Linked DNA regions of Caenorhabditis elegans. The protein of the gene in region 1 interacts with the protein of each later gene in a pairwise test. Each region holds a gene or a part of one and is shown on either strand. Other genes may lie near its edges.

Region 1 (7,609 bases):
AATATGACCTATTTCTTAAAATTTTTTGGATGAAAAATTAATTTTTTTCCAAAATTTTTTAATACAGATATATTCTATTTATTGCGGGAACACAAAACTCTGAGAATACGTATAGCACAACATATTTGACGCGCAAAATATCTCGTAGCGAAAACTACAGTAACCCTTTAAATGACTACTGTAGAGCGTTTGTGTCGATTTACGGGCTCATTCGGTTCTTCGCATTATTTGGTCATTTTTAGCTGAATTTCAATACTTTATCGATAAATAAATTAATTGAATCCATTTAAGCCCGTAAATCGACACAGTAGTCATTTAAAGAATTACTGTAGTTTTCGCTACGAGATATTTTGCGCATTTAAAGAATTACTGTAGTTTTCGCTACGAGATATTTTGCGCATTTAAAGAATTACTGTAGTTTTCGCTACGAGATATTTTGCGCGTCAAATATGTTGTGCAATACGCATTCTCACAATTTCGTGTTCATGAAATAGTTTTGCTAGGTGGCCGAGAAGTGAAAAACTCGGCCACATGTTTTTTTTCGAATATCGAGAAAGTTCGGCCATCGTTTTTTTTAAAATCAAACAATTTAGATTTTTCGTTTAAAAAAATTAATTTCAAGCTATATTTTTATTTTCCTCGAAATTTTTTTTCTAAATTCTAATTTCTCGTGGATTTTGAATTTTTTCGATTAAAAAACTGAAAAAAAATTAAAATTATCAGAATGTGTAAAAAAATTTTTTAAAGCTATACTGGCAAAACGCGGTATTTTGAAAAAAGATTTTTTAAAAAAATTTCAAAAAAAAAAAAAAGCAAATGAAATTTCTCGACCATCGATTTTTTTTAATCGGAAAAATTTTGATTTTTCCCAAAAAAAATTAATTAAAAGCAATTTTTCTTGCAATTTTTCTCTCTATGGAATTTTAAAAAATCTACGGTTTCTCGTGGTTTTTGCATTTTTTTTTCGATTAAAAAATTGTGAAAAAATTTGGTCATTTCAAATATTTTGTAGGACAAAACCTTGACGGTCATAATACACCGAAAATTAGAAAAAAAAACTACAATTTTGAAGCAATACATGTATATTTTTAAAATAATGTATATTTGTTTTAAAAAAATTAATAACGAATTTAAAGCAGATCACAGTGTAATTAGGAATAGCAGAGCAAAAAAAAAACAATTAGACATTCAAAAATTTCAATTTTTTTTTTCAAAAAAATTGTAAAAATCCAAATTATTCCGATTTATATTTCTCAATTCCAGCAGGGCTCATGACACAAATATGTCCGAGATCTCGGAATTTCTGATTATAATCCAATCCGTAGCCAACAATAAATTTGTCAGGAATCTCAAAAGCCACGAAATCCTCTGGAACATCCACGACACGTTTGACACGTTTCGACAGGAGAAGGGCGGTCCAGGTCTTCTCAACGCCCGTCTCATGTAAAGTTGAGAGAAGTTTTGCAAGAGTTCTTCCGGTATCCGAAATATCATCCACAACGAGCACACTTTTCCCCTTGAGCTCATCCAAATTCGATAGTCCCATTATTTGAATTTGTCCAGTACTCATTTGATCCTCGTAACTCTTTACTCGAATAAAATCGACAGTCATTGGTTCAGGACACGATGAGCGAGCATTTGTGAGCTCTTCGACGAGGGCAGTGAAGAATTTATAGGATCCTTTGAGTACGCAGAGCAGCGCGATTGGTTTGTTTCCGATTTCAGCGTGGATGTCTGAGAAAATTATATGATTTCTGATTTTTTACTAAATCACTGCAACTTTTTCCTCACGAGGGACGAGGAAAAGTGGTTTCTAGGCCATGGCCGAGGGGCCGACAAGTTTCAGCGGCCATTTATCTTGCTTTGTTTTCCGCCTGTTTTCTTTTGTTTTTCACAGCTTTTTCCCGTTTTTTCTTATTAAAACTGATAAATAAATATTTTTTGCAGATGCTAAAACAATTTCCAAGTAAAAAAAATCATGTATTCAGTGGGCAAGCAGCGGTGAAAGTGGGCATTGTAATATGATGGATTACGGGAATACAAAACCTAAACTTTTCCCCAAACATGATACATATGCTGCTTAAATGCTGAGACTACCTGATTTCCATAATGAGACGTCTGAAAAAGTATTGAGATTTTCAAAATTCAACTTTTTGTGCGAAAATCTCGACCTTTTCACCAAAAAAGTTGAATTTTGGAAACCTCAAAACTTTTTCAGCGGTCTCGTTATGAAAATCAGGTAGTCTCAGCATTTAAGCATCATATGTATCATGTTTCAGAAAAAGTTTAGGTTTTGTATTTCCGTAATCCATCATTTTACATTGACCACTTTCACCGCTGCTTGCCCACTGAATACATAATTTTTTTACTTGGAATTTGTTTTAGCATCTGCAAAAAGTATTTATTTATCAGTTTTAATAAGAAAAAACGAAAAAAATCGATGAAAAACGAAAGAAAACAGGCGGAAAACAAAGCAAGATAAATGGCCGCTGAAACTTATCGGCCCCTCGGCCATGGCCTAGAAACCACTTTTCCTCGTCCCTCGTGAGGAAAAAGTTACAGTGTAAATCGAAAAACGAAAATTTTCCGGTATTTCTAATTTTTTCAGATTTTTCTAAAATTAGCTTAAAAGTTTGATGACTAGGTTTTTTTTCTTCAATATAAACAAAATTAGAAAAAAAAAAAATAGAATTTTCTGATCAATTTTCCAGCAAATATAAAAATCGAAAATTTTTAGAAGTTTTTTCAAAAAAAAAAAAAAAATTTTGGCAGTTTTTAGAAGAAAAATTTTTAAAGAAATTAAAGAAATAATATTGAAGCAGAAAGTCTTGTTTCTGAAAATAATTGTTTTTATTCGAAACTTTTCCGTCATCGCATTTCTTCAATTTCTTCAAAAAAAAATGTATCAACGAAAAATTGTCCATTTTCGGATTTTCCGTAAAAAAAACTTCTAAAATAGGAAAATTTTTTTAGTTTCCGAAAAATCTGAACAAAAATCGAAAAATCGAAAAAAAAAATTAATCATAAAATTCGATTTTCTAATCTAATTTTGTTTATATTGTTAAAAAACATGAGAAAAATTAAAAATGTCTTCTAAAAAGAACAATTAGAACACAAAATTTCAAGGTAATTTTAGAAAAATCGAAAAATAATTCGAAATTTCGGAAAATCGAAAAAATTCCGTTGACACTTTTTTAGAGGAAAATTTGAAATTTTTCTGTATTTTTTGAAATCCTTCAATCCAAGCTCCCTTATACTTGAAAATGGAAGAGCTGGAATCCTCTTCCACGGCCCTGTGTGTCGATTTACGCAGCCCTCGTGTACTCTTCGAGGAGGAGAAGACGATTTTACAATTGTCACGTAAATCGACACATGGCCGTGGAAGAGGTTTCCATCTCTTCCATTTTCAAATTTGAGGGAGCTAGAAGTCCGTTGTAGGGCTATTAGAGAGAAATTTTTAAATTTTAACTGTTTTTACCTTTAGCCAGACGACGAACACGATCTCTAACAAGACCTTCCGGAATCACGACACCGGATAAATCACCGTCATAGCAGATTGGAATGTCGAATGCGTCGACTGGGAGCTGCAAAAATTAAATATTAATTTAAAATTTTACAATTTCGCCATAATTTTGCAAGAAACGACGTTTAAAAATAAATGAAATTGCACATTTTTAGCCCAAAAATCAATTAGACTACAAACTACAAATCTTTCTAGCCTCAACCATGTTGAAAATGTTCGAAATTTCACAAAATACTTGAAAAAGTTGAAAATTTTTGACTGAAGATTGCAGATTTTAACTATTTTAGAACAAAAATATGGATAATATTGTTCTTTTTAATTGTTGAAAACTAGTTTTTCTGGGCAAAATTTTGGAAAAAAAAACGTAATTTTTAATGAATTTCTGCTGATATGAGGAGAAACGGTTGCAAAATTGTGAGTTTTTAGCTGAAATGGATAGAAATCGAGAATTTTTTGTTAAAAAAAATGTCAAAAATTAACTGAAAATCACGTTTTCGGTCAATTTTTGGTTCACACTACAAACTACAACTTTTTCTAGCCTCAACTAACTTTGATGAAGCTGAAAACTCTTGTAGTTTGTAGCCTGAGAGCCTCACCAAAAAAACTTAAATTAGCGAAAATTCAAAATTTATGGATATTTAAGCATTTTTCTTGAATTTTTTTTTTGTCTCCAGCTGCTAAATTATAAACTTCCTGCAGTTTTTTTATTTCAGTTAAAATTCAAAAATCTGAATCAAAAAATTGCTGGAAAAGTGAAAAGTTGGTTGAGGCGTCAGATCACAAACTACAATGTTTCCCAGCCTCAACCAACTTTGGTGAGGCTGAACATCATTGTAGTTTGTAGTCTGAGAACCTCACAAAAAACTAAAAAACTGTTTAAATTCAAATTTTATAGAATTTTAAGCCTGTTTCTTGGATTTTTTTTCGTTTCCAGCTGCTAAATGTGAAAATTGCTCTCGAAATCGTGGCAATTTTCATTCGAAATTCAAAAATCTGAATCACAAAAATTGATGGAACCACCGTTTGTTGCGGTGTCACACTACAAACTACAATGTTTCCTAGCCTCAACCAACTTTGGTGAGGCTAAAACTCGTCGTAGTTTGTAGCCTAGGAGCCTCACCAAAAACTAAAAAAAAACCTGTTTAAATTAAAATTTTTTGATTTTTTTTTTGTTTTCAGCTACTAAAGCTTGGAAATTTCATGCACATTTGGCAATTTTCATTCGAAATTTTTTAAAAATCCTGAATCAAAATTGTTTGAAAAAATTTCTGGAAAAGTTGGTTGAGGCGTCAGACCACAAACTACAATGTTTCCTAGCCTCAACCAACTTTGGCGAGGCTAAAACATCGTTGTAGTTTGTAGCCTAGGAGCCTCACCAAAAACTAAAAAAACTGTTTAAATTCAAATTTAATGAAAATTTAAGCACTTTTCTTGAATTTTTTTGTTTCTAGCTGCTAAATGTGGATATTTTTCTCGAAATCGTGAAAATTTTAATTCAAAATTCAAAAATCTGAATCACACAAACCTCAAAATCATCAGGAATGACAGCACGAGTTGGAGCCATTTTCGAAAATGAAGAACTATTTTTCTGAAAAAAAGAAAAGTGTGTGAATGGTTATTTAAAAGAGACAATATTATCTTATCAATCAAAAAAAAAAAGAAGATTGATCAGATTATCTTATCAGTTGAAATAGACGGCGCGACGATGAAAGTTACGAACGTGTCAACGATAAATGTTGCATTTTAATCGAAAAAAAACGCATCATTTCGTTTATATTGAAGGGGAGAAGTTAACAGAACAAAAAACATATAACAATGGTAATAATAACAGGTGAAAAAGAATAGAAAAAACGAATTTTCCGGGAAAAACGAGAACAATTATTAAATCATCAAATCCATCCAGCGTACTCGGCAATCACATCTTTATTGTCTTTTCGGTTACGGCCCACTGCGCTTTGCTTTCCTTTGACCTTCAGTCGAATCTGGAATTTTTGGATAAATTTTAGAAATTTTTGTGGTATATTGATTTATACTGAAGGTTGGAAGGATTTCAGAATTTTTTTAAAAGAGTTTTACGAGTTTGGAAGGAAAATATTAATAAATTACAGTAAAGTAGAAATTAAATACTTTTTTATTAATTTTTGAGATTTTTGTGAATTTTTTTTTTTGTAAAAAAACGTATTTTCCAAAAAATTTAAGGATTTCACAGTAAAAAAAACTAATTTTTAATGTAATGATCAGTCGAAAATTTCAAGAAATTCCAAAAAAAAAAGATAATTGAAAATTTTTGCAAAGTTTCACACAGAAAATTTTAAAAAAACGAATTTCAGACAAAAACTGGCCACGCCCACAAAATGGACGATACCGAAAGAATTCCTATATAATTTTTTGCAATGTTTCAGATACAGAAATTTCGAGAAAAAATATTGTCAGACAAAAACTGACTCCGCCCATAAAATTGTCGGTTTTCTAAAAATTTGAAATTAAATATATGATGACTTATTCCAAATTTTAAGTACGTTTCTATGAACAATATTTCAAAATCAGCAAACTAAATTCTTTTTAAAGCAACATTTTTTTAGAATGACAATGAAACACAAAATTCAAAAAAAAAAGCGAATTTAGGACAAAACCTAGCCATGCCCACCACAAAATGGATGCTCAAACGTGCAATTTTCAAAAAAATATAAAATAATTACTATGATGCCGCGTAAGTGATTATTTTTCAGAATTTTTTCAGAATTCGCTTTAAAAAAAAAGGAATTTTAGACGAAAACTGGCTCCGCCCACAAAATGGTCGGTTTTCTAAAAATTTTAAATTAAATTTTTTTCTATGAACAATATTTCAAAATCAGCAAAACTAAATTTTTTTTAAAGCAACATTTTTTTAGAATGACAATGAAACACAAAATTCAAAAAAAAAAGTGAATTTCGGACAAAAACTGGCCACGTCCACAAAATGGATGCTCAAATGTGCAAAAATTCAAAATTGCACATTTGAGCAAAAGTTTGAACAACTCCGCCCATTCTGAAATTTCGAAAAAAATTTTCACAACAAAAACAGTCTTCGCTTATAAAATGGCACTTTTGGTACAAAAATGACCAGATTTATACCGTTTATACCGTTTATTATTTTTTGAGTTTTTTTGAGAAAAAAAGTTTTTTGTTTTTTTTTAAAGTTTTTAATGAAATTTTTAATCGAAATTTTCAAAAAATTCAAAAAAAATTTGATAATTGAAAATTTTTGCAAAGTTTAACACAAAAAATAAAAATATATATTTTCAGACAAAAACAGGCTCCGCCCATAAAATGGATAAAATTTCCACGATTCTACGTGGCTGAACATTTTTTTGTTGCAATGTTTCAGGTACAAAAATTTCGAGAAAAAAAATTTGAGGCCCCACGAAAAGGGGATCTGCGAAAAGGGGAGCTGGCACTGTGCCAAACGCACAAAACGCTTTTTTATTCTCATTCAACGCACGACTTTTTTTTGTATTTTACGCTAAACAACGCGCGCGATGCGTAATAACGGAGTGTGGTTATAACAAAGTCGTGCGTTGAATGAGAATAAAAAAAGCGTTTTGTGCGTTTGGCACAGTCACTGCAACTTTTTCCTCACGAGGGACGAGGAAAAGTGGTTTCTAGGCCATGGCCGAGGGGCCGACAAGTTTCAGCGGCCATTTATCTTGCTTTGTTTTCCGCCTGTTTTCTTTTGTTTTTCAAAGCTTTTTCCCGTTTTTTCTTATTTAAGCTGATAAATAAATACTTTTTGCAGATGTTAAAACAATTTCCAAGTAAAAAAATTATGTATTCAGTGGGCAAGCAGCGGTGAAAGTGGGCATTGTAATATGATGGATTACGGGAATACAAAACCTAAACTTTTTCTGAAAAATGATACATATGATGCTTAGATGCTGAAATTACCTGACTTTCATAACGAGACCGCTAAAAAAGTTTTGAGGTTTTCAAAATTCAACTTTTTGTGCGAAAATCTCGACTTTTTCACCAAAAAAGTTGAATTTTGAAAACCTCAAAACTTTTTCAGCGGTCTCGTTATGAAAATCAGGTAGTCTCAGCATTTAAGCA
Region 2 (4,994 bases), on another chromosome or scaffold:
CCGGTTTTTTAAAAACAGTTTCGCCGATTGAAATCGAAATTATGAAATTTCCGAAAACAAATGTGCAAAACCACAATTTGCCGAAAAAATGTAGAATCGACAATGTGCCGGTTTGCCGATTTGCCCGAAATTTTCAAATTCGCCGGAAATTTTCGATTCCGAAAATTTGCCGATTTGTCGGAAATTTGAAATTCCGGCATTTTGTCTATTTGCCGGAAATTTTAAATTCCGACAATTTGCCGGTTTGCCGACTTGCCGGAATATGTCGCCCACCCCTGCTATATATCGAATTCCAGAAACCCCAATGGGACAATTGCCTGTCCTCACCGTCGATGACTTCGAAATCCCACAATCTGCTGCCATAAATCGCTACCTTGCTAGAAAATTCGGGTTCGCTGGAAAAACTCCAGAGGAAGAAGCTTGGGTAGACGCCGTCGTCGATCAATTCAAAGATTTCTTTGCGGAATTCAGAAAACTAGTCATTGCAAAACGAGTCGGAAAATCTGCTGAAGAACTGGAAAAGTTAACGGCTGAAGTTATAAAACCTGCTATGGATGTGTACTTCAAAGTTCTCAATGGCCTACTGGAAAAGAGCAAGTCAGGATATCTGATCGGAGATTCAATCACCTTCGCGGATCTTTATATCGCTGACAACATTCAAACACTGAAAAAATATGGGCTCCTAGAAGCTTCTGGAGAGCAACCAAAACTAGCAGCTCATCTCGAAAAAGTGTATTCCCACCCCAATCTGAAGAGCTATATCGCAAGTCGTCCAGTAACGGAGATCTAATTTTTAATCTTACTAACATGTTTTCCATATTCAAAAACAAAATAAAGAAGTTTCCTTTGACAACCAGAAACTTCATTAATGTTGACTGCCGCCGAAATGTCCTTGTCAATACTCTCTCACGTGGGGGGGGGGGGGGGGGGTAAACAAGAAAATGTGATGTTTGGTGAACAGAAAGGGTAGGGGAGAATAACAAAATAAAAACGAAGGAGGTTTTCTAAAGAATGATTGTTCTGGATTTTTTTTTGTTGGTTTTTTACAATTCATTTTTATTTTTATACTTATGCCAAGTTGAATTAAAGATGGAGCAGAGTTTCTGAAGTTTGCATATATTAATTACCTATTTTCAACAAATTTAGACGGCATTTTATTTTTGCCCAATTTTTTTCAGCCATCTAAGGACTGTCCTTTTTTTGGGCAAAAAAAATTTCTCTGAAACCGTTCGAAACTACTGGAAATTGAAAAAGGGCAATTTTTTAGTGTTTGCAGATCAATTTTGAGTCCTCTATCTATAAAATTGACCATTTTAGAGGAGTTTCAAAATTGTGATTTTTTGCCATAAATTGCCCATTTTTGCCACGTTATAGTTTTTGATGGGTTAAACATAGATTTTCTGAATTCAGCATACACGAATTACCCGTTTTCAACAAATTTAGCCAAAAATTTTTTTGCCCAATTTTTTTAAAGCCATCTAATGACTGTCCTTTTTTTTGGGCAAAAAAAAAGATTTTTCTTAAAACGTTTGGAACCACTGGAAATTGAAAAAGGGCAATTTTTTAGTGTTTGTAGATCAATTTTGAGTTCTCTAACTAAATTCAAAATGAACCATTTTAGAGGAGTTTTAAAATTTGTGATTTTTTACAATAAATTGCCCAAACAATATGTTTTTAAAAAAATTTTTAATGATTTTTTTTTTCAATTTTTCAAAAATCAAAGAAATGCCCAAATTATATTTGAATTCTCGCGCAAATGAGTGACGTCATTTTTGGCTAAATTTATGCGTTTTTTTTTAAAATTTTCTTCTATATTTGATTTAAAACACAAATTCGGCAATTGTTTTTCAAATTGAAAACTTTTTTCCGTAACATGGAAGAAATTGGTCTAAAAAACGGAAATTTAATATTTCTTTATATTTTTTTTGTTTTAGAAAATTGAATGTTTGAAAAATTGACAAACGGCGATTTAAATCAAATGTAGAAGACATATCAAGAAACCCCTCCAAAATTAGCCAGAAAAAGCGAAAATGCATAGAATGACGTCACTCATTCGCGCGGGAATTCAAATTTAATTCGGACGTTTTTTTTTTCAAATGGAAAAAAATTATTAAAAATTTAGAAAATTTTTAAAATTTTTTGACAGTTATATTTGGTTATTACGACCTATTTTCTGTGACTTAAACCCAAAAAAAATTTGAAAAAGCTCTTCTTCTCTTTTCAAAGTGGGGTTTTTTTCGAAACGTGTCCTGCAAAAAAATGTAAATTTCCAAAAAATCGTTTTTATTTCTCTTATTTTTCTTTTATTTTGAAATTTTAAATTTTGTGCTCTTTTTTATCACAATGCTCAAAGACCACCGATTTCCAATTCCCATATTATATTTTTGCTTAGAGACGTAAGCCTCAAATAAATAGACTTAGACTGTTAGAGACCTCGCTTTTTCCACTCAATTTTGTCGATTTTCGAATCCACCTTTTTCAATCTTCCAGAAATAAAATGCCACAATACAAGCTAACATATTTTGATCTACGTGGATGGGCTGAGCCGGCTCGACAGCTTTTCCATCTCTCGCATACTCCATACGATGATATTCGGATTCCAATGGCCGATACTGAAGGGAAATGGGAGAAAATGAGAGACAGTAAGTTCTTAAAGTGAAATGTGTTGCTTGTAGTTTGTAGTTTGTAGTTTGTAGTTACTGATGCCACACTTAATTTGAAAAAGTTTGAACTAAAAAACATTAAATTTCTTGGCTTTCGGGGAAAAATCTTTTTGTAGTTTGTAGTTTGTAGTTCGTAGTTTGTAGTCTGTAGTTTGTAGTTTTTAATTTGTAGTTTGTAGTTTGTAGGTGCTAGTTTGTAGTTTGTAAAAGGTTTTTTGGTACGAAAGTATTTTGAAAAATTAATTTTTGTCAAAAAAATAGTTTGTTACTTGTAGTCCGTAATTCGTATTATGTAGAATATAGGTTGTAGTTTGTAGTCTGCAGATTGTAGTTTGTAGTTTGTATATTGTAGTTTGTAGTTTGTAGCTTGTAGAAAGGATTAGATATTTCTGTTTTTTTTTCGTATAAATAGAAAGTCACTACATCCAGCTTTAGGGTTTCATAAGATCTTCAGGCGTACGCGCCTACTTTTTGCCTGCCTGCCTACGTGCTCTCCATTGTGACTTCTTGTTTAGCGCAGATTTCAAATATTTGTGTTAAGTATAAAATGTTCGATTACAAACTGAGAGTATGAACACACGATGGCAGACGTAGGCATGTAGGCAAGCGTGCCTACAAAGAAGACCTGCCATAATTAATTCAACTTCCAGAAACCCCATTTGGTCAGCTCCCAGTACTCAACGTTGATGGCTTCGACATCCCCCAATCTGCTGCAATTTGTCGATACCTTGCCAAGAAATTTGGTTATGCCGGAAAAACTCCAGAAGAAGAAGCGTGGGCGGACGCCGTTGTCGACCAATTCAAAGACTTCTCCGTTGCTTTTAAAACACTCCTTTTTGCCACAAGGGCCGGGAAACCAGAAGAAGAAATCCTCAAAATCCGCTACGAGATTTTCAATCCAGCTCGAGATGTCTACTTTATTCTTCTCAATCGAATTCTCAAAAAGAGCAAGTCAGGTTATTTAGTTGGTGATGGGCTCACATGGGCTGATCTAGTTATAGCTGATAATTTGCACAGTCTGGAGAAGCTTCGAGCCATCGATGATGATGATGAAGGACATCAGAATTTGAAAAAGTATAAGGAGAAAATCTATGGAACCCCAGATTTGGAGGATCATATTGCGACGAGAATGGATACAGAAGTCTAAATTTTGAATCGCGTTGAATTTTTAAAAACTGTGATAAAAGATAATAAACATATTGTAGTATTTTATGCGGATATTTTTTTACCGAAATACTTTTTTTTGAAATAATAGTGCGAGAAGTGCAACAGGGCTCCATATGATTTTTCAGTACTTTTGAATTTTTGAAAAAAACAGCTTTTGATGTATTTTCTGAACTTTTTAAAATAATCTTCCGTACAAGTTAGCAAATTTTATTTAATATTTTTTGGTATATTTTATCATGCTAAACAGTTTTATAAAAGAAAAATGAAGCACTTCATATGATTTTTCAGTACTTTTGAATTTTTGAAAAAAAAACAGCTTTTGATGCATTTTCTGAATTTTTCAAAAATTTTTCCAATTTTCTGACTTTTTGTTTTGTGACCAGTGTTTCTTCGCAAAAACACAAACCACTCTTCTATTTCTCTATTTCTCTCACTCTCCCTCCCCTCAATTTCGGAGATTTTCGAAACGACTTTGTGTATATAAAGTACTACTCAATCATCTCCCATCAACAAACAATGCCACAATACAAGCTCTACTATTTCAACCTTCGTGGATGGGCTGAGCCGGCTCGGCAGCTCTTCAAGCTGGCTCACGTCGAGTTTGAGGATGTTCGTATTGAGAATGGAACTCCAGAGTGGGGAGCGTTGAAGCCAAGTGAGTTTTTGAAACATTTTTAGTGGTATTTGTATAACTGTCACGGATTTTGAGAATTTTTTAAAAATCAGATACGGTGGTCCACTCTAAGCCTAAGCCTATGCCTCGGCCTATGACTATACCTAAGCCTAAGCGAAAGCCTAAACCTAAGCCTAAGTCTGAATCCCAACCCAGGAATCTTCCAGAAACCCCATTTGGTCAGCTCCCATTCCTCTCAGTCGATGGCTTCGAAATCCCCCAATCCGCTGCAATTCTCCGCTACCTTGCCAAAAAATTCGGCTACGCTGGAAAAACATCAGAGGAAGAAGCGTGGGTGGATGCAATCGTAGATCAATTCAAAGACTTCGTCACCCCACTACGCCAACTCATCATGGCTCAAAGATCCGGAAATGCGGAGGAAATCGAGCGAATCCAAAAGGAGGTCTTCGCGCCGGCCCGGGATACATTCTTCAAAATTCTTAATGGAATTCTTGAGAAGAGCAAGTCAGGATTCCTAGTCGGAGATGGTG
Region 3 (4,507 bases), on another chromosome or scaffold:
AGGATCTGAAATAAAAATAAATTAGTGATAAATGTTATGTCAAATAGCTTACCGTTCTGCAGACAATTGAGAATATCATTGAATGGCGTGCACTCATTGGATTCCTTATTTGAAGAAGTTGGCTCTTCATTAGATGACATTGATTGCAGTGGTGGCGCATCAATGAAGAACTCCTCGAAGAAACGATCGTCTTGTGGCTCCATTTTGACCATTTGTCTGGGCTTGTTGACACTTCCACGTGGACGTCCACGAGCTTTTTTGGCGCCTGAAAAATGATATGTTTCCAGAATACTGGTAGTTATACAAAAGGAGCTAGTTTTAGAATGTTCTAGCAATATAGAATAATGTTTCCTTTATCTGAAAAAACTTATATTTAAGTTGGAATAGTTGAAAAGATGCTCACAAATCTCAAACTTTGAGACAATATTTGAGCACTTTTCCGATTGTTCCAACTAAAATATAAGTTATTTTTAGACATAACAAATATTATTCCTAAATTTTAATGAAAAATATTGAGAGAACATGTCAAAACTAGATCCTTTTGTAGAATTATCGGTCGTACTCTTTCTATTATCATCATTATCCGCCTCTTTTCCAGCCATCTCATTTTCGATCTCATATTTAAGTTGTCCGGCTTCAGATGTTCTCTTGGACTTCCGAGCTTGAAGCACCTCTTCAGATGGAGCATTCACATAATTTCTGCTTTGACACTTTCCACTGCATCGATTCATATGCTCGTAGAAGTCGATGGTCATTGCTTCCATGTGAGTTCTAGAATATAAAGTTTTGAGAAACAGAAGTATTTTAAGGGATTATTGTCTTGATGCTCACCTCAACGAAGATCTTCCAACACGGATGCTCGCCTTCCAATCTTTCTGACGCTCTTTGTCGCCACGGATTGTGAACTGCTTCGGAGAAAGAAGATCGTCTGAAAATAATTATATTATGAGACCCATTTTAAATTATCTGAAATAAATAAAATAACGAACTTCCCACTTCAATACACGGCTGATGAATCCCAGGGCACATGAACAGGTTGAGATGCATCTTTCCATTCACGACACCACAGGAAACTGGCACAGTCGGTGACGCATCTCCTTCGGGAATTGTGATCTGCAGTGGTGTTATAGGGCGCGGAAAATCGTCGTTTGCCGGATGCTGTAAAAATATGAATTATTAAAGCGATGTAATTATGAAAAAGTAGCTGAAACTCACTCCATACAAAATTTGATAAACATTCCTTTGACTCTCTTGGAATGGAGTCATCGTGGAATGATGATGATCAGATCCTTCGGCTTGAAATCCATCACATGATCCAGAAATCGGATGAGACGGCAACACGGAAGCAGCGCTCACGTCTCCACCGAACATTTTGACGTTGCTTTGCAATCCGAATAAAACCGTGAGTCGGGCGGGCCGTTGCAAAGTTCGCCACGTTTCACGTTAACACGTAAAGATTTCCGCGTCATTCTTTTTTTCATCTTTTTGGTACCACTTCCGATAAGCTGAAATTTCTTATTATTTTCGTTGGCAGATAAATAATGAATTTTTTGTTTTAAGAATATTTATTCAAGAGAAATGGTTTCAAAACGGGAAGAATCCAACTTTTCAGAGAGTTTTCTTTAATTTTTTACAACAAAAACACAATTTTCACACTAAACAACAGTTATTTAAATTAAAAATCACAAGTTGAACACTTTAAACGCGAAAAATAGTGAAAAAGTTCATAAAAAAGCAAAAGTGTGAAAATAATTGCAGAACAGAATTTTCTACAGTAACCTTAAAGGCGCACATACGAAATCGCGCGGCGCGTGGCGACACCATTTTACGATATTGGTCCTCCCTTGAACCTTCTGAAATCAGAAAGTTTTACAGTAATTGTAACATCACAAGATAGGAAAAAATGAAGAAAATAAAAAATAAAAAAGTCAAGAATTTTAGGATTGCAATTCAAAGGTTTTTACCGATCTTTTTAAAAAATAATGAGAATTTTGTTACTAACTATGATCTTTCATTTGATAGTATTAGTCATTAAAAAAAAACACACAGATCACCTTAAGTTTAAGAATACAATGAAAAATTAAGCAAAAAAATTCGTTGAAAACATTTTTTAATGCTCGTAAAATTGCTCCAAGGTTGATTTTGCCTTTTACATTTAATGATTTCAAATTTTGTAGAGGTCAATGTTTTTATGAGAGACTCGTAGGGACGGATTTTTTTTATTTGAAAGTTCAGATAGTTGAAAATATTTTTTTATATTTTTTTTTGTTAGAAACAAAAAATAATATTTTTACTTTAAAATAGAGTTTTTTAGACGAAAAAGTGATTACGTGACATGACCTTTGGGCCTTGTTTTTTATGGCCTAATTAATTCAGCATAAAAGGTCCAGATTTCGTCAGTTTTGTTCATATTTCGTCCGAAATCTTGAATCAATCGTCTTTTGAATCGCCAAAGCAGCCAAGAAGCAAAGGAGCAGAAGCATGGGTTCCGAGAAGATGATCGAGATCTGTATCGATATGGAAGAAGGAGAACCACTTGGTGCAACTCCGAATGACAAGCTTGTCATCACTAAAATCCAGGCTGGAACTATTTCCGAAGGAAAGTTGAGAGTAAGTTCTACAAAAGTTTAACCATTATTCTATGAAAAGTTTTATAGATTGGTGACCAAGTCAAAAAAGTCAACGGGCAAAACTGCAAAGATTGCAATGACTTTTTCCGTGCACTTCGCTTTGCAGCTCCATGTGCAAAAATTATGGTGAACCGCGATGAGAAGAAGGCCGAAGAGTTGGAGGCTCGTGTTCATATTCCTGAAGATCGTGCAAAGATCATTCAACGCCGTGAAGGATACGTCTATGAGTTGGCAACTCTTGTTTGGGTTCAAAATGGACCAAAACTTGGTTTGGGAATCAAGCATTTCCAGGTAAGAAATCAATCAAATCAAATAAATTCTAGGAAATTCATATATCTATTTCAGAATCGTGTGCTTGTCTCCCGTGTTGATCCTGGATCACTCGCCGAAAAGTGTCTCGTTCTTGGAGATCACTTGTGTGATGTTGATGGTATTCCAGTCAGTGACAAGGATGTTGCCAGAGACCTTCTCGTCAAGAACATTCAAGAAAAGGGAAAAGTCACTTTCGTCGTCGAGCGTCCCGATTCGATTGATGCCAAGCAATGGGCAAAGCAGGCATTGGCAACCAATCTTATGCAGCCACCATCTGTGCAAATGAACGAGGATGTGAAGGGCATTGCGTCTCAATACCGTCAAGCTCTTCCAGGATTGAAGCCTCCAGCAAAGAGTGCTATGTCTACTGGTCCAAGCGCTCGTCGCGTTTCAATTGTCGAGCAAACTCAAACACATGAAATCGGGCATGATCATGAGGGAAAAGCTCTTCGCAAGGTCAAGTGATGTGCCAGCAAGATGCCAGAAATCGCAACGTCTAGCTCGAATAAAAATTTTGTTTGAATCGCTTCTGCTGATTTATTTTGTTTTATATGTTCGAATACAGATAGTTTTTTGGGTATGTGAAACGCCCACAAAATGGCTCCTTTTAGGCAGGAGTGGTCAAAATACTACCGTATTGCAGACGATTTTTGTTTGAAAGTTGTTTGAATTTCTGAAAAAGGCAGAATGTGGTTACAGCAAGTCTCTATTAATATCAGCTCGTTTACTCCACGTGTTCCTCGTTTACCAAAAGCCCTGACCATGTTTTAGTGGCCCAGAAGAAAGTCTAGTTCTGGCTTACCGTAGCCTTAACAAGAGTTGAAAAGCCATAACTTTTGATGGCATAGGAAGTACCCACAACACTGAGCCTCTCGCAAACAACTTGCTTTGCTCCACCTTCAACGCTTTCATTTTGAGAAGCTTTTGATTGCAAAATAAATGGTAATAAATTGTTTTTTTTTGACATTTTTTTGTTGAAAAAACAATTTATATTAACTTCTTGAACCCATAATAAAATCAGCAATGTTAAAGGCCTTCCTATGCCTAGTTTCTGCATTTCTGCGCCAAATTTGGTGTCTGTGTCTTGACAGATAAATACATGGTGCATCGTGCAAAGATTCACCTACTGGCAGGTAACATGCCATTGCAACTAATCTAAATTATCTTATTAACAAACTTTCATTCAACTTTTGAATAAAAAAACGTGATGATCTCACGTTTTCAAAAAACATTCTAGTGCTTATCGTGATTTTCTCGATTATTCCTAGCTATTTACAATATTTCTTCCAACTTTCGTGCCTCAAATCATGAGCAAACCTGGTTAGTTTTGAACGCTTTTTAATGAAATTTTTGAAACTTTTTTTCAGAAAGTGTTCAAGAATCCCTTGATACAATCACATTTATTCACTCTTTTCAAATTACGACCACCAAGGTTGAGCATATGAAGCCGAAACGTTTTACCACGGTCCATCAGTACTCGCTGATTAATTGGTAGGTGATCTCACAGTTCTAGGGGATAGAGAAAAGGGGAGATGGAGATATGTGGGAACTGAAATTTAGTTTCA
Region 4 (4,310 bases), on another chromosome or scaffold:
GTAATTTTTCTTTTTCCACCAATGGTGAGTCTCCTAGTTAGGTATTTATGAGGAAAAATCAATTGGAAGATTGCTTTTTAAAATAAACTTTTAAAAATATACTAAAATGCCAATCTTTCATTGCCTGTCATATATGAAAAATATCTGTGATTATCATTTAAGTAATTGCCAGTTACTTTAATTTCAGACCTTTTACGACACTGTCATATTTCCAATTTATTTTTGGGTTTATTTTGGTTTTACCATGTTCAGTCAAACTTCCGTCGTGCTTTTAGTTGTTTTTAAAACGCCCGTAGTATTCAAAGATTTTCGTGTCTTTCTTGTCAATTCTTCAACTTTACAGTTTTTCATGTGCATAATAGTTGTCTTCACACAAGTCAGGTTAGTTGTACGATAATATTAATTTTTAGCTAACACTGTTCCTTCAGACCTGTGAACAATCCAGAATCGTCAGCATATCTTTTTAGCGGGTTTTGTAGACACACTCATAAAAATGCTTGCTTTTTCAGTTTTGATTTTTTCCAGGTAAGTGTCCTGTAATTGTTATTTTTTACAAATATTCAAAATTCAGTTAGTCTTTGATGCCTCGTCCTTTGCAATTCCTGCTACATTGTTTTACAAATATACAAAAGTAACAAATATTAATATGAAAAACATAACTAAAAATCAAATCAGAATGATTCTTTTAAGCTCTTACCTTCTATCTTTAATTGTGGGGGTGAGTTTTGCTTTTCGTGATTGATCTAGAATGGAAATATGAATGTTTCTAGGTGATCTATGTGATAACGTACGAACCAGACGAATCTCTTGAGGTTGCTTCAGAGACCAGGAAGTTTCATTCAACACAATATGATTTCCGGTACTATGCGGATATCACTGGATATCAAAAACATTTTTGGAGCTGGTTAGCAACAAATTTGAATATGATAAGCATTTTCGTCCCACCAATCATGAGTATTGTGTTTATTAGGTAATAAATTTGAGTTTCGAAGAAATACTTACCAATGTGTTTCCAGACTAATACAAATTAAACTCAACAGTTTAAAACATTTATTTACTGATAAAACTGCTGCTCAAGCCAAGAAGTTTGATCTTGCTTTGACGATTCAGACACTTGTCCCTGCAGTTTGTGTGATTCCTATATACATAGCTCACTTAATACTTGAGAATTATGGTAGGCTCCTGTCCGTTTTTACAGTAAAATAATATGTGACAATTTTCAGACTTGCCGTTTCTCTCAAATTTTGAAAAAGTTCTATATATGATGCTTTCTCTTCCAACAGCTATTGATGCGTTCATTGTTATTGTCACCATCACACCGTACCAAAAAGCCTTTATTGCGTTTTTCAAGGATACGTTTTGTGGCAAAAAAGTTTCACCTGCAATTGTTAGACGTAACAATATTTCGGCTGTTTCCATTTTTTGAGCATTTTGAATAATTGGTAATGATAGTGGTGGACTAATCGGAGTAGTAATCGGAACTTTGCTCAATTGAATAAAATAACATTGTTCAAAGATATTACACAAGCACTTTTATAACAGTAATAAAAAATACCGACAAATGAAAAACATTGTTCGAAGATCTGCAAATAAAAATAACGATGAAAAAATATTTACAGTTCAACATTACACTTTAAAATAAAGTGCCAAAGCTCTCAAACAATTATTGTTAAACAAGTTTTTGGATCTAGAGAGACTATTCACCGTATTTCCTCACCAAATTAATTCATTTTGACGTCTAGTGTCGCACTACGTTTTAACGATACTAGAAATGTGTTATTAAAGCCCTAAGAAAAAGCTTATTGTTTATATTTTGCTAGTTGGCGAATGTCTGACAAAATTAAAAAAACAACCGAAAAATAAGCAGCTAAAGATGGAGAGATGGGTGCAAGACTATTGGACACGGAAATTATTTTTTTTTTAAGCAAATAAAATTTTAAAATTCCTGAAATCATAGTTGTGTTTTCATATTGAAAACTTGATCAATTGATCTTCCCTCAACTGTGCTTGCACAAAAATAGACACAATTCAAAGAGACGCAGAGGAATTAACAGTCACAAAAATTGTTACACTGTCTATGGTCTCTTCGGGAAGTAACTTTGAAAATACTCTCTACGTAAACAGATATTTCATATTTTAGTCACGGAAACTACAAACTTCCATTCAACCATGAAATAATTTTAACTGCAATGAGTATAAAAAGAAAACATTAAACTGCATTTAAACATCACATTCATCTGATTGACATTTTATTTTTGTAATCTCAAAATAATGGCTCGCTTTTCTGGAAAGTCTGTCATTATAACTGGTTCTTCTAATGGAATCGGAAGATCGGCTGCTGTGATTTTTGCAAAGGAAGGAGCTCAAGTTACAATTACTGGAAGAAATGAAGATCGCCTAGAAGAAACCAAACAGCAAATATTGAAAGCAGGAGTTCCAGCTGAGAAGATTAATGCCGTGGTTGCTGATGTTACCGAAGCATCAGGACAAGATGATATCATCAACACGACTCTTGCTAAATTCGGAAAAATTGATATCTTGGTATGTACATAGATAGAAAATGAAATATACTCAATTGTTTTAGGTTAATAATGCTGGTGCCAATTTAGCTGACGGAACAGCTAATACGGATCAACCAGTGGAGTTGTATCAGAAAACATTCAAGTTAAACTTCCAAGCTGTGATCGAAATGACTCAGAAAACAAAGGAACATTTGATAAAGACAAAAGGAGAGATTGTAAATGTTTCCAGTATCGTTGCTGGCCCACAAGCAGTAAGCTTCGGGAGAGAGGATTTCAGAACTTTTGTTTTAATTTTCAGCACTCTGGATATCCATATTATGCTTGCGCAAAAGCTGCGCTTGACCAATACACCAGATGCACTGCAATCGATCTTATTCAACATGGTGTCCGCGTAAATTCTGTCAGCCCTGGAGCAGTTGCCACTGGTTTCATGGGAGCGATGGGTTTACCAGAAACTGCATCTGACAAGCTTTACAGTTTTATTGGCTCACGGAAAGAATGCATTCCTGTTGGGCATTGTGGAAAGCCAGAAGAAATTGCCAATATCATTGTATTCCTGGCTGATAGAAACCTCTCATCTTACATTATTGGACAATCGATTGTTGCTGATGGAGGATCAACTCTTGTTATGGGAATGCAAACACATGATCTTATGTCCGTTCTTAGTCAGTAAACTATAACTTTTTTTTTCAGATTTTGTTAACCATTGTTATCTAATGTAATAGTCGTAAAATACACAATAAAATACATTGAATACTTTTATATAAATTGTGGTTTTAGGAATATATTACTTTTCTTTCGTTCACAAAGAAAAACAAGAGTTTCTGCTGCAGTTAGAAGTGTTGCTCCAACATATAATCCAATGGTTCCTCCAATTTCGGCTGAAAACTTTCAAAGTTACAAGCACATCGAGTAAAACTCACCAAGAAGTAAAAATAAGTTGTAGGATCTTTCTTGAAGAATAGTCTCTTGTTTAAAGTGTGCAAAATAGAACTTGATGTGAAGAAGATTTACTCTGAAAAAAGTTTGTTCCGTTGAAAGTACCAAGTTTAATGTTTATTTGCACGCATACACTCAATTAGAACAAGACGTCACGGCGGCGTCGTTTGCCATCACTGAGCTCACCCTACTCACAACTCAGATTACGCTTAAAAGACTTACACATCATATTGAGGAGTTGGAGAATATGACTGGGCCATCAAAACTTGGTTTCGAAGTCTTGAAAGCCATTCGCCACGGATGAATCGAGTTTTCTTTAAAATATAGAAATTAAAATCAGATCTTGATTTTTAAACTTTGAAATATTTTCTTATTTTATGTATTATTCGATTTTCCCCGTTGATCTTCTATGTATTACATTTTGTTACTATTTATCAAATTTCGAATAAACAAACAAACAAATAAATGTAATTTTTAGGTATTTTGAATATTTCAAAGTCAGTAATTATTCTTGCCTTTAAATTTGGCGCTTTTTCGTGAAGTTCATCCAAACATTTCGAGAAATTTGAAAATTTATCACTGAAACTTTCATCTGCAGCAATTCCTGTCAATACTGCAAACTTTCTTCTACTTTCTGTTGCTGCCAAAAAGGTTTCTGATAATTCATTCGCCAATGCTGGAATATCCGTAACCATAGTTTTTCTTAATTTTAGCATTTCTTCAATTTCCACATGGTCTTTTGCTATTTCTCGATACGATGATTCAAATTCTTTTAAATCAATTTTAAAATCTTTCCATTCACTCATTCGAACTCTTGTTTTTAATATTTGCAGTTTAGCCAACACTTTC

Evidence for each region.
Region 2: the proteins of hprt-1 (region 1) and gst-15 interact in a two-hybrid assay, tested with the Caenorhabditis elegans proteins (one large-scale study listed by BioGRID).
Region 3: the proteins of hprt-1 (region 1) and smz-1 interact in a two-hybrid assay, tested with the Caenorhabditis elegans proteins (one large-scale study listed by BioGRID).
Region 4: the proteins of hprt-1 (region 1) and F25D1.5 interact in a two-hybrid assay, tested with the Caenorhabditis elegans proteins (one large-scale study listed by BioGRID).

Annotation. Positions count from the first base shown.
Region 1 is NC_003279.8:14,654,874-14,662,482, reverse strand, and holds hprt-1 (Hypoxanthine phosphoribosyltransferase), read right to left. Parts: upstream 5,129-7,609; 5' UTR 5,088-5,128; coding exon 5,049-5,087; intron 3,585-5,048; coding exon 3,479-3,584; intron 1,735-3,478; coding exon 1,235-1,734; 3' UTR 988-1,234; downstream 1-987. Other genes in the region: riok-2 (Serine/threonine-protein kinase RIO2), read right to left, coding at 5,413-5,505.
Region 2 is NC_003280.10:13,610,647-13,615,640, reverse strand, and holds gst-15 (glutathione transferase), read left to right. Parts: upstream 1-2,444; 5' UTR 2,445-2,497; coding exon 2,498-2,642; intron 2,643-3,313; coding exon 3,314-3,810; 3' UTR 3,811-3,871; downstream 3,872-4,994. Other genes in the region: gst-14 (glutathione transferase), read left to right, coding at 297-790; gst-24 (glutathione transferase), read left to right, coding at 4,347-4,485, 4,671-4,994.
Region 3 is NC_003282.8:12,452,711-12,457,217, forward strand, and holds smz-1 (PDZ domain-containing protein), read left to right. Parts: upstream 1-2,339; 5' UTR 2,340-2,481; coding exon 2,482-2,610; intron 2,611-2,657; coding exon 2,658-2,921; intron 2,922-2,975; coding exon 2,976-3,407; 3' UTR 3,408-3,589; downstream 3,590-4,507. Other genes in the region: Transcription regulator spe-44, read right to left, coding at 1-5, 53-265, 563-771, 832-928, 990-1,158, 1,216-1,371; C25G4.7 (uncharacterized protein), read left to right, coding at 4,250-4,262, 4,310-4,437.
Region 4 is NC_003283.11:10,544,714-10,549,023, reverse strand, and holds F25D1.5 (DeHydrogenases, Short chain), read left to right. Parts: upstream 1-2,240; 5' UTR 2,241-2,271; coding exon 2,272-2,541; intron 2,542-2,584; coding exon 2,585-2,773; intron 2,774-2,820; coding exon 2,821-3,195; 3' UTR 3,196-3,281; downstream 3,282-4,310. Other genes in the region: srd-34 (Serpentine receptor class delta-34), read left to right, coding at 344-381, 429-525, 572-718, 771-970, 1,017-1,174, 1,224-1,426; degt-1 (Acid-sensing ion channel 1), read right to left, coding at 3,282-3,403, 3,446-3,537, 3,684-3,775, 3,977-4,310.